2 linked regions of the Callithrix jacchus genome follow. The protein of the gene in region 1 binds, or shares a complex with, the protein of each later gene. Links are inferred from orthologs where the notes say so. Each region holds a gene or a part of one and is shown on either strand. Other genes may lie near its edges.

Evidence for each region. The genes of interacting proteins can lie anywhere in the genome.
Region 2: the proteins of PLOD3 (region 1) and COLGALT1 are in contact, whole or in part, in a cryo-EM structure (PDB 8ZGE), measured with the Homo sapiens proteins. The link is inferred for Callithrix jacchus from reciprocal best matches to the Homo sapiens genes PLOD3 and COLGALT1. Residues at the interface, in NP_001075.1 of Homo sapiens: Leu226, Val229, Val230, Leu231, Lys232, Phe233, Asp234, Arg235, Arg241, Gln261, Tyr264, Leu265, Pro275, Gly430, Ala431, Leu432, Arg440, Glu442, Glu446, Arg452; in NP_078932.2 of Homo sapiens: Ala36, Tyr37, Phe38, Pro39, Glu40, Glu41, Arg42, Trp43.

Annotation. Positions count from the first base shown.
Region 1 is NC_133503.1:12,545,138-12,549,167, reverse strand, and holds part of PLOD3 (multifunctional procollagen lysine hydroxylase and glycosyltransferase LH3), read right to left. Parts: intron 2,685-4,030; coding exon 2,587-2,684; intron 2,431-2,586; coding exon 2,329-2,430; intron 2,152-2,328; coding exon 2,026-2,151; intron 1,867-2,025; coding exon 1,745-1,866; intron 1,439-1,744; coding exon 1,334-1,438; intron 1,205-1,333; coding exon 1,079-1,204; intron 1-1,078. UniProt on the Homo sapiens protein: Multifunctional enzyme that catalyzes a series of essential post-translational modifications on Lys residues in procollagen. Plays a redundant role in catalyzing the formation of hydroxylysine residues in -Xaa-Lys-Gly- sequences in collagens.
Region 2 is NC_133523.1:16,291,187-16,295,711, reverse strand, and holds the start of COLGALT1 (procollagen galactosyltransferase 1), read right to left. Parts: upstream 2,959-4,525; 5' UTR 2,893-2,958; coding exon 2,633-2,892; exon of another isoform or gene 2,566-2,632; intron 1-2,565. UniProt on the Homo sapiens protein: Beta-galactosyltransferase that transfers beta-galactose to hydroxylysine residues of type I collagen. By acting on collagen glycosylation, facilitates the formation of collagen triple helix. Also involved in the biosynthesis of collagen type IV.

The sequences.
Region 1 (4,030 bases):
GTGGCTCACGCCTGTAATCTCAACACTTTAGGAGGCCGAAGTGGGCGGATCATAACATCAGGAGTTCGAGATCAGCCTGGACAACATGGTGAAACCCCATCTCTACTCAAAATACAAAAATCAGCCAGGCATGGTGGCGTGCGCCTGTAATCCCAGCTACTCAGGAGGCTGAGGCAGGAGAATCACTTGAACCCAGGAGGTGAAGGTTGCAATGAGCTGAGATCACACCACTGCACTTCAGCCTGGGTGACAAAGCAAGACTTCATCTCAAAAACAAAAAAAAGGCCAGGCACACTGGCTCACGCCTGTAATCCCAGCACTTTGGGAGGCTGAGGCGGGTGGATCACGAGGTCAAGACATCGAGACCATCCTGGCCCATATGGTGAAACTCCGTCTCTATTAAAAATACAAAAATTAGCTGGGCATGGTGGTGTGTGCCTGTAATCCCAGCTACTCAGGAGGCTGAGGCAGGAGAATTGCTTGAACCCAGGAGGCGGAGGTTGCAGGGAGCCGAGATCACGCCATTGCACTCCAGCCTGGCGATAGAGCAAGACTCCATCTCAAAAAGAAAAAAAAAAACAGATGGGCTTTCATCATGTTGGCCAGGCTGGTCTGGAACTCCTGATCTCAAGTGATTTGCCCGCCTCAGCCTCCCAAAGTGCTGGGATTACAGGATTGAGCCACCAGGCCTGGCCTTTGTTTTTTCTTTTCTTGAGACAGGGTCTCCCCGTTTCCAGGTTGGAGTGCAGTGGTGCAAACATGGCTCACTGCAGCCTCAACCTCCCAAGCTCAAGTGATCCTCCCACCTCAGCCTCTGTAGTAGTAGCTGGGACTAGAGGCTCTCACTACCATGCCCAGCTAATACTTTAAATTTTTTGTAGAGATAAGATTTTGCTATATTGACCAGGCTGATCTCACCAGGCTCAAGCAGTCCTCATACCTTGGCTTCCCAAAGTAGTGGGATCACAGGTGTGAGCCACTGCACCCGGCCTCATGGCACCTCTGACTGGTGACTAGGAGGCTTGGGTCTACCCAGGCCCTGGGTCAGAAGAGGGGGCTGCAGGCTGGCGGGACTCACACTCGCTTTCTCTGCACCAGCTCCACGTAGTCCTCAGAGCGGGCGTAGTACTCGTCAGGGCTCAGGGCACCCCAGAAGTTGGACCACAGCTTGCCGTGGCGGGACAGCATGGGGGCAATCACCTTCCTGTGGACAGGCGAGGGTGAGGGCTGGGTGGAAGAGAGCAGGCCTGGGGAGCCCAGTGCCCAGGGCAGGAGTGGGGTTCCCGGGGCCTGTTGGGGTGCCCCCCGGCTGCAGGGAAAGAGGGCAAGCCACCTGTTCTCCTCAATGAGGATGCGCAGGGTCTGTGGGTTGGTGAGGACAGCATCAGCGTCCAGGCTGAAGTAGAACTCGCACTCGGGGTCCTGCCGACACATGTCCCTGGAGGTGAGAGCTGAGCTCAAACAGCAGCAGGCAGGGAGGCAGGTGGGGATGGGGAATTGGCCCCACCCCAGGAGAAGAGGAGGGAGGCAGCATCTGGCCTTCTTTCCCCAGGCTCTCCGCTGTCTGGGTGAGCTAGCAAGGGTGGGGAGGGGATGTGACAGCGTGGGAACTGCAAGGATGCGAGTGGAGAAGCCTGGGAGGAGCTGGAAGGGTGATAGGTGAGGCGAGGGCCAGGCAGCGGGTGGCAGCCACCCCCACCCTGCACCCTCATCCTGCCCTCCTCCCTGCCCAGTGCCTGCTCACATGGCCATGTCCCTGGCCTCGCCTGGGCTCAGAGCCTCCTCTGGCCCCACCAGCTTCGTGGCTGCAAAGTGTTCCTGGAGCTGCGGCCAGGAGTCAGCGATGTGAGGCTCATGGAAGACCTCCTGGGGAGGGGTTGACATGGGGGACGGGCTCAGAGGGCAAGGAGGCGGCCCTTGAGGGATGGGGGTGCAGGTAGGCTATGGGGGTGGGGGCACGGGAGTGCTGATTAGGGCAGGGGAAGGGTCCTTTGGGAGAGGCTTTGGGGGGCGGGGGGGTCTCACGTTATTGTGCAGGAAAAGGGTGATCCTGTCGTGGGGATAGTCTAAGAGCAGCAGCCGCTGCAGGAAGCTGGGCAGAAATGGGGTAGGCTGTTCCACAAACACGGCCAGAAACACCCGGGGGGGAGGCTGGAAGATGCGACACGAAGGTGCTCAGAGGGAAGCCTGGACTTCCCGCCGCCCCCACCCACCCTCCACCCTGCCAGCTTCGGGGACTCAGGGGCATTGCCCCCACCAACACCCAGCCCACTGTCCTTGCACCTCCTGCTCAGCATGCTGCCTTCTTTCCCGGCACCCCTGCCTCACCTGCCCCCCCGGGAGTGTCCTCCGGTCCCGGTTGCAGAAGCCACAGCCTCCCTCGGGAGTCCAGCCATTGGGGACATAGTTTCCCAGGTAGTTGAGCTGCAGCTGTTGGGGAGAGACAGAGGCTGAGTGGCTGAGGCCTCCAGGGTGGAGGTGGGGCACCTCTGCTGTGGGAGCTGGGGAGGGCCGGCTTCTCAGAAGGGTTGGAGATGCCCAGGGGTTGGGGCAGGGCAGGGCAGGGGTTGAAGCCACTGGTGGCACCTTAGTAGGACCATTTCCATGGACCACAACGGGGAGCGTGTCGTAGGCCACGTTCCGTATACGCACACGGTTCCGATCAAACTTTAAAACCACTTCATCTGGGGAAGAAAAAGGCCAGGATTCAGACCCCCTTTCTCTGGGAGCTGCCGAGCAACACGTTCTTCTAAATATGGGGTCCCAAATTCTCCAGGGATAAAGGGACACTGGGACTATCCTGGAGTGTGGCTTGTGGGGGGCAGGAACCTTCGAGTTCTGACCAGGCTGCTGGCTCAGAGAGCTCCACTGACTACCTGCCTGAGCATATCGAAGCCGCTGGGTGAGGAAGGGCAGGATGAACTGAGCTGGGTGCCACTGGGAACCTCAGCATCCCTATCCCTCTTCATGTTCTCTCTCATTTTTTTTTTTTGAGACGGAGTCTTGCTCAGTCACCCAGGCTGGAGTGCAATGGCGCCATCTCAGCTCACTGCAACCTCCACCTCCTGGGTTCAAGAGATTCTCCATCCTCAGCTTCCTGAATAGTTGGGATTACAGGCGTGTGCCACCATGCCCTGCTAATTTTTGTATTTTTAATAGAGAAGAGGTTTCGCCATGTTGGCCAGGCTGGTCTTGAACTCCTGACCTCAGGTGATGATCCACTTGCCTTGGCCTCCCAAAGTGCTGGGATTACAGGCATGAGCTGTCGCACCCAGCCTAATTTTTGTATTTTTAGTAGAGACAGGGTTTCATTATGTTGGCTAGGCTGGTCCTGAACTCCTGACTTCATGATTTGCCTGCCTCGGCCTCCCAAAGTGCTGGGATTACAGGCATGAGTCACCGTGTTCAGCCTCCTTGCTTTTTTTTTTTTTGAGACAGAGTCTCGCTCTGTCACCAGGCTGGAGTACAGTGGCATGACCTCAGCTCACTGCAACATCTGCCTCCCAGGTTCCAGTGATTCTCCTGCCTCAGCCTCCTGAGTGGCTGGAATTACAGGTGGCTGCCAACATGCCTGGCTAATTTTTGTACTGTTTTTTAGTAAAGACAGGGTTTTGCCATGTTGGCCACGCTGGTCTAGAATTCCTGACCTCAAATGATCCTCCAATCTTGGCTTCCCAAAGTGCTGGGATTACAGGTGTGAGCCACCACGCCCGGCCTCTCTATCTCTTTTCTCCCCATCCCCTGAGGTAAGTCACTAACCCCTCCACAAGTTACTTTCCTCATCTGTAGGAGGTGGATAACCAGGGACCTTTCTCTTGTTAAATGAAATCACAGAAGTAAAACCCCTGGCCGGGTGCCCAGGCACAGCATGTGTGCCCCAGACGCCAGCATGCTTTGGCTTCCCTTGCTTCTAGTACCGTCAGCACAGTGCGACTCACACCATCGGCCACTCAGACGCCCGACAAAGCCACAGAGAGGTGGGCTCAGGCCAGCTCAGCTCCTCCAGAAGCCTCTCCCAGTTCAAGATTCC
Region 2 (4,525 bases), on another chromosome or scaffold:
AGATCACCTAAGGTTGGGAGTTCGAGACCAGCCTGACAAACATGGAGAAACCCCTCTACTAAAAATACAAAATTAGCCAGGCTTGGTGGTGCATGCCTGTAATCCCAGCTACTTGGGAGGCTAAGGTAGGAGAATCACTTGAACCTGGAAGGTTCAAGATTGTGACACTGCACTCCAGCCTGGGCAACAAGAGGGAAACTCTGTCTCAAAGAAAGAAAAATAATAATATTTATTATAAATATTATAAACTCTGTCTCAAAAAGTGATAAATAAATCATTTTAAAAATAAAATGTAGGCCAGGCGTGGTGGCTCACGCCTGTAATCCCAGCACTTTGGGAGGCCGAGGCGGGTGGATCACGAGGTCAAGAGATCGAGACCATCCTGGTCAATATGCTGAAACCCCGTCTCTACTAAAAATACAAAAAATTAGCTGGGCATGGTGGCGCGTGCCTGTAATCCCAGCTACTCAGGAGGCTGAGGCAGGAGAACTGCCTGAACCCAGGAGGCGGAGGTTGCAGTGAGCTGAGATTGCGCCATTGCACTCCAGCCTGGATAACAAGAGTGAAACTCCGTCTCAAAATAAATAAATACATAAAATAAAATAAAATGTATATATCATAAACCAGCTGGGCACAGTAGCTCACACCAACAAATGTTGGCTGGGCACGGTGGCTCATGCCTGTAATACCAGCACTTTGGGAGGCTGAGGCAGGCAGATCACTTGAGCTCAGGAGTTCAAGACCAGCCTAGTCAATATGGCAAAATGCTGTCTTCAGAAAAAATACAAAAATTATCTGGTGCAGTGGTGTATGTCTGTAGTTCCATCTACTCAGGAAGCTGAAGGAGGAGAATCATTTGGCCCAGGACGGGGAAGTTGCAGTGAGCCGGGATTGCGCCACTGCACTCCAGCCTAGGCGATGAATGTAAAACCCTATATCAAAACAGAAGAGTACCTCAGCAGGGCACAGTGGCTCACACCTGTAATACCAGCACTTTGGGAGGCTGAGGCGGGTAGACCACAAGATCAGGAATTCGAGACCAGCCTGGCCACAATGGTGAAACCCTGTCTCTACTAAAAGTACAAAAATTAGCCGGGCATGGTGGCTCGAGCCTGTAATTCCAGCTACTCGGGAGGCTGAGGCAGGAGAATCACTTGAACCCAGGAGGTGGAGGTTGCAGTGAGCTGAGATCATTGCAGTTGCTGGAGCCACCGCACTCCAGCCTGGGCAACAGAGTAAGACTCCTTCTCAAAAAAAACCAGTATATCTCATAAACCCCCTCCCCTGCCTTCCTTCATCCTCTCCTCTGAACCACACCCACGTCAGTGGGCTATAGTCATTCATTCATTCAACAAACGTTTGTTAAGTACCAATTGTGTATTTGGATTATCCAGACTGGGGAATCAGGTGGAAGGAAAAGGGACATCTGGGAGTTTAGTTTGACTGTAGTGCCAAGAGCTAATTCTACCCAATAAATTGACAGTAACACCAGCAATGACACTAATAATAATATTAAAATCACTCAGCGCCAAGCCCATGTCAGACACACCAGCTTCACATCCATTAACTGGTTAACCTTCAGAGACAAACCCAAAGCGAGAATTATATTAATACACTCATTTTCTTTTCTTTCTTTTTTTTTTTTAGAGGCAGGTTCTCACTCTGCCCAGGTTGGAGTGCAATCATAGTTCACTGCAGCCTTGAACTCTTGGGCTCATGCGATTCTCCTGCCTCAGCCTCCCAAATAGCTGGGACCACAAGGCACAGGCCACCGCACCTGGCTAATTTTTTCTAGAGATGGGGTTTTGCCATGTTGGCAAGGCTGGTGTCGAACTCCTGAGCTCGAGTGACCTGCCCACTTTGGCCTACCAAATGGCTAGGATTAGTGCGTGAGCCACTGCGCCCGGACCATTTTCCATTTGAGGAACTGAGGCGGGGAGTGAGAAGTCACCACTCAGAGACTTCCTCAGAGCTCTGCCCCATTCCCTCCCAAGAAAGCTTCCTCCGGGTCCATCTGGTCCTGGACCCCACACACCGCCGGTCCCAGAGCAGGGGTCTGATTGGGGCCTGGAGCCTAGCTGACTTCAAGCTTAAGAACAGCAGCAGGCACGGAAAGGCTGTTAGATGTGGCCCCCCGGAAACGCCCCAATAGGGGCTCTGGGCTCTGTTCTTTGGAGGTGTACGTGTCCCAGAGAGAGATGGAACAAGCCCCAGTCAGCGAGGCCAGATCTGCCCTAATAGGGTCAAGCAGGCAGGAGGGTCCCCAGCCCACCCTAAAGGAACCATCGGTTCCGCTTGTCTTAACGTGGGGAGGGCTGTTTCTGGCCCACCTCATAGGAGTACAGCAGGCAGGGGGCACGCGTGGGTCAGCCCCAATGGGGGCAGCAGGCAGGGGCACACGTGGACCCTTCCCGATTGGGGCAGCGGCCAGGGACATGCGTAGAACCGTCCCGATGGGAGTAGCGAACAGGAAGCATCTCAGACCCGCCCCGAAGGGGACAGCGGGCAGGGAACGCGTAAACCCTCCCCTAAGGGGACAACGAGCAGGGGCTCGCGTGGACCCACCCATAAGAGGACAGCCAGCAGGGAGCTCGCGGGGACCCGCCCGATGGGGACGGCAGGCTCGGCTCACCATAGCGCCGTGCGCTCCCGCGGGTGCCGCAGCCGCTCGAGTGCGCCCAGCGTGGTGTGCAGTGCGTGGGCCGCGTTTCGCGCCAACAGCGCGATCAGCACGCGCGGCGCCTGCAGGGGCGACTCCGGGCTCCAGCGCTCCTCGGGAAAGTAGGCGTCGGCGCCCGGCGGGCCTCCCGGCGGCAGTGGCGCCAGCAGCAGAAGCAGCAGCGCCGGGAGCGGCCTTCCGCGCCGCAGTCGCGCGCGTGGGGCCGCCGCCATCGCGCCACGCGTCTCCTTTAAGTCGTTTTTGTGCCGGAGGACGCCGGCCGCACGGTAAAAAAGTCTTCAGGGCCCCGCCCGGCCGCTCGCCTTAAAGGGGAGGAGTCCAGGCCCCGCCTCCAGACGCTCTCAGAGACTCAAAACCCGAGTGACGTCACCTACAGCCCCACCCAAGACGCCCCGCCCCCGCATGATCCTTAAAGATACAGAGCGCTTGGAGAGGGAGAGCTTGGAAGGGAAGTTAAGGCTAGCTTTAGGGTTAGGAATCCGCGCTTCCTCCAGTCGCTTCCTACCACCCGGACCTCAACCTGATGCGCCCCAACTTCCCCAAGTATAAAACCCGGGCTGTGCCACCCGGCGGGCTTGGCTACTTAGGACCTGGTTTGGGACCCTAGAGACCTGAGCTTCAGTTTCCTCTGCTGCAACGTGGATTTGGCATCCTGGTTCTGGACCTCACGCCTGTAATCCCAGCACTTTGGGAGGTAGAGGCGGGCGGATCACCTGAGGTCAGGAGTTCGAGAGCAGCCTGGTCAACATGGTGAAACCCCGTCTCTACTAAAAATACAAAAAAAATAGCTGAGCGTGATGGTGCGCGCCTGTAATCCCAGCTACTCAGGAGGCTGAGGCAGGAGAATCGCTTGAGCCCTGGAGGCGGAGGTTGCAGCGAGCTGAGATTGTGCCACTGCATCTCAGACTTCTGCCTCTCGGGTTCAAGCGATTCTCTTGCCTCAGCCTCCCAAGTAGCTGGGATTACGGGTACCTGCCACCACGCCCAGCTGATTTTGTATTTGGGAGTTCGAGACAGTCTGGCCAAGATGGTGAAACCCATCTCTACTAATAAAACAAAAATCAGCTGGGCGTGGTGGTGCCCGCCTGTAGTCCCAGCTACTTGGAAGGCTGAGGCAGAAGAATCGCTTGAACCCAGGAGGCAGAGGTTGCAGTGAGCCAAGGTCACATTACTATACTACAGCCTGGCAATAGAGCTACACTGCGACTCAAAAAAAAAAAAGAAAGAAAGAAAGAAAGAAAAGAAAAAAGAATGATACAGGCCAGGCGCGGTAGCTCACACCTGTAATCCCAGAACTTTGGGAGGCCGAGGCGGGTGGATCACGAGGTCAAGAGATCGAGACCATCCTGGTCACCATGGTGAAACCCTGTCTCTACTAAAAATACAAAAAATTAGCTGGGCATGGTGGCACGTGCCTGTAATCCCAGCTACTCGGGAGGCTGAGGCAGGAGAATTGCCTGAACCCAGGAGGCGGAGGTTGCAGTGAGCCGAGATCGTGCCATTGCACTCCAGCCTGGGTAACAAGAGCGAAACTCCGTCTCAAAAAAAAATACAAAAAATTATCCGGGCATGGTGGCGCTCACCTGTAATCCCAGTCACTCGGAAAGCGGAGGCAAGAGAATCTCTTAAATCCAAGAGGTGGACATTGCAGTGAGCCAAGATCGTACTATTACACTCCAGCCTGGGCTACCGAGCGAGACACCATCTTAAAAAAAAAAAAGTTGAAAACAAATTTACACTCTGTGGACTTGACGAGGAAAGATCTTTTCATATTAAGAAAAAGACCCCAGGGCAAACAATGGTTTTCTCAAAAGGAGCAAGATGACAAATTCTTGAGGCTGTAAT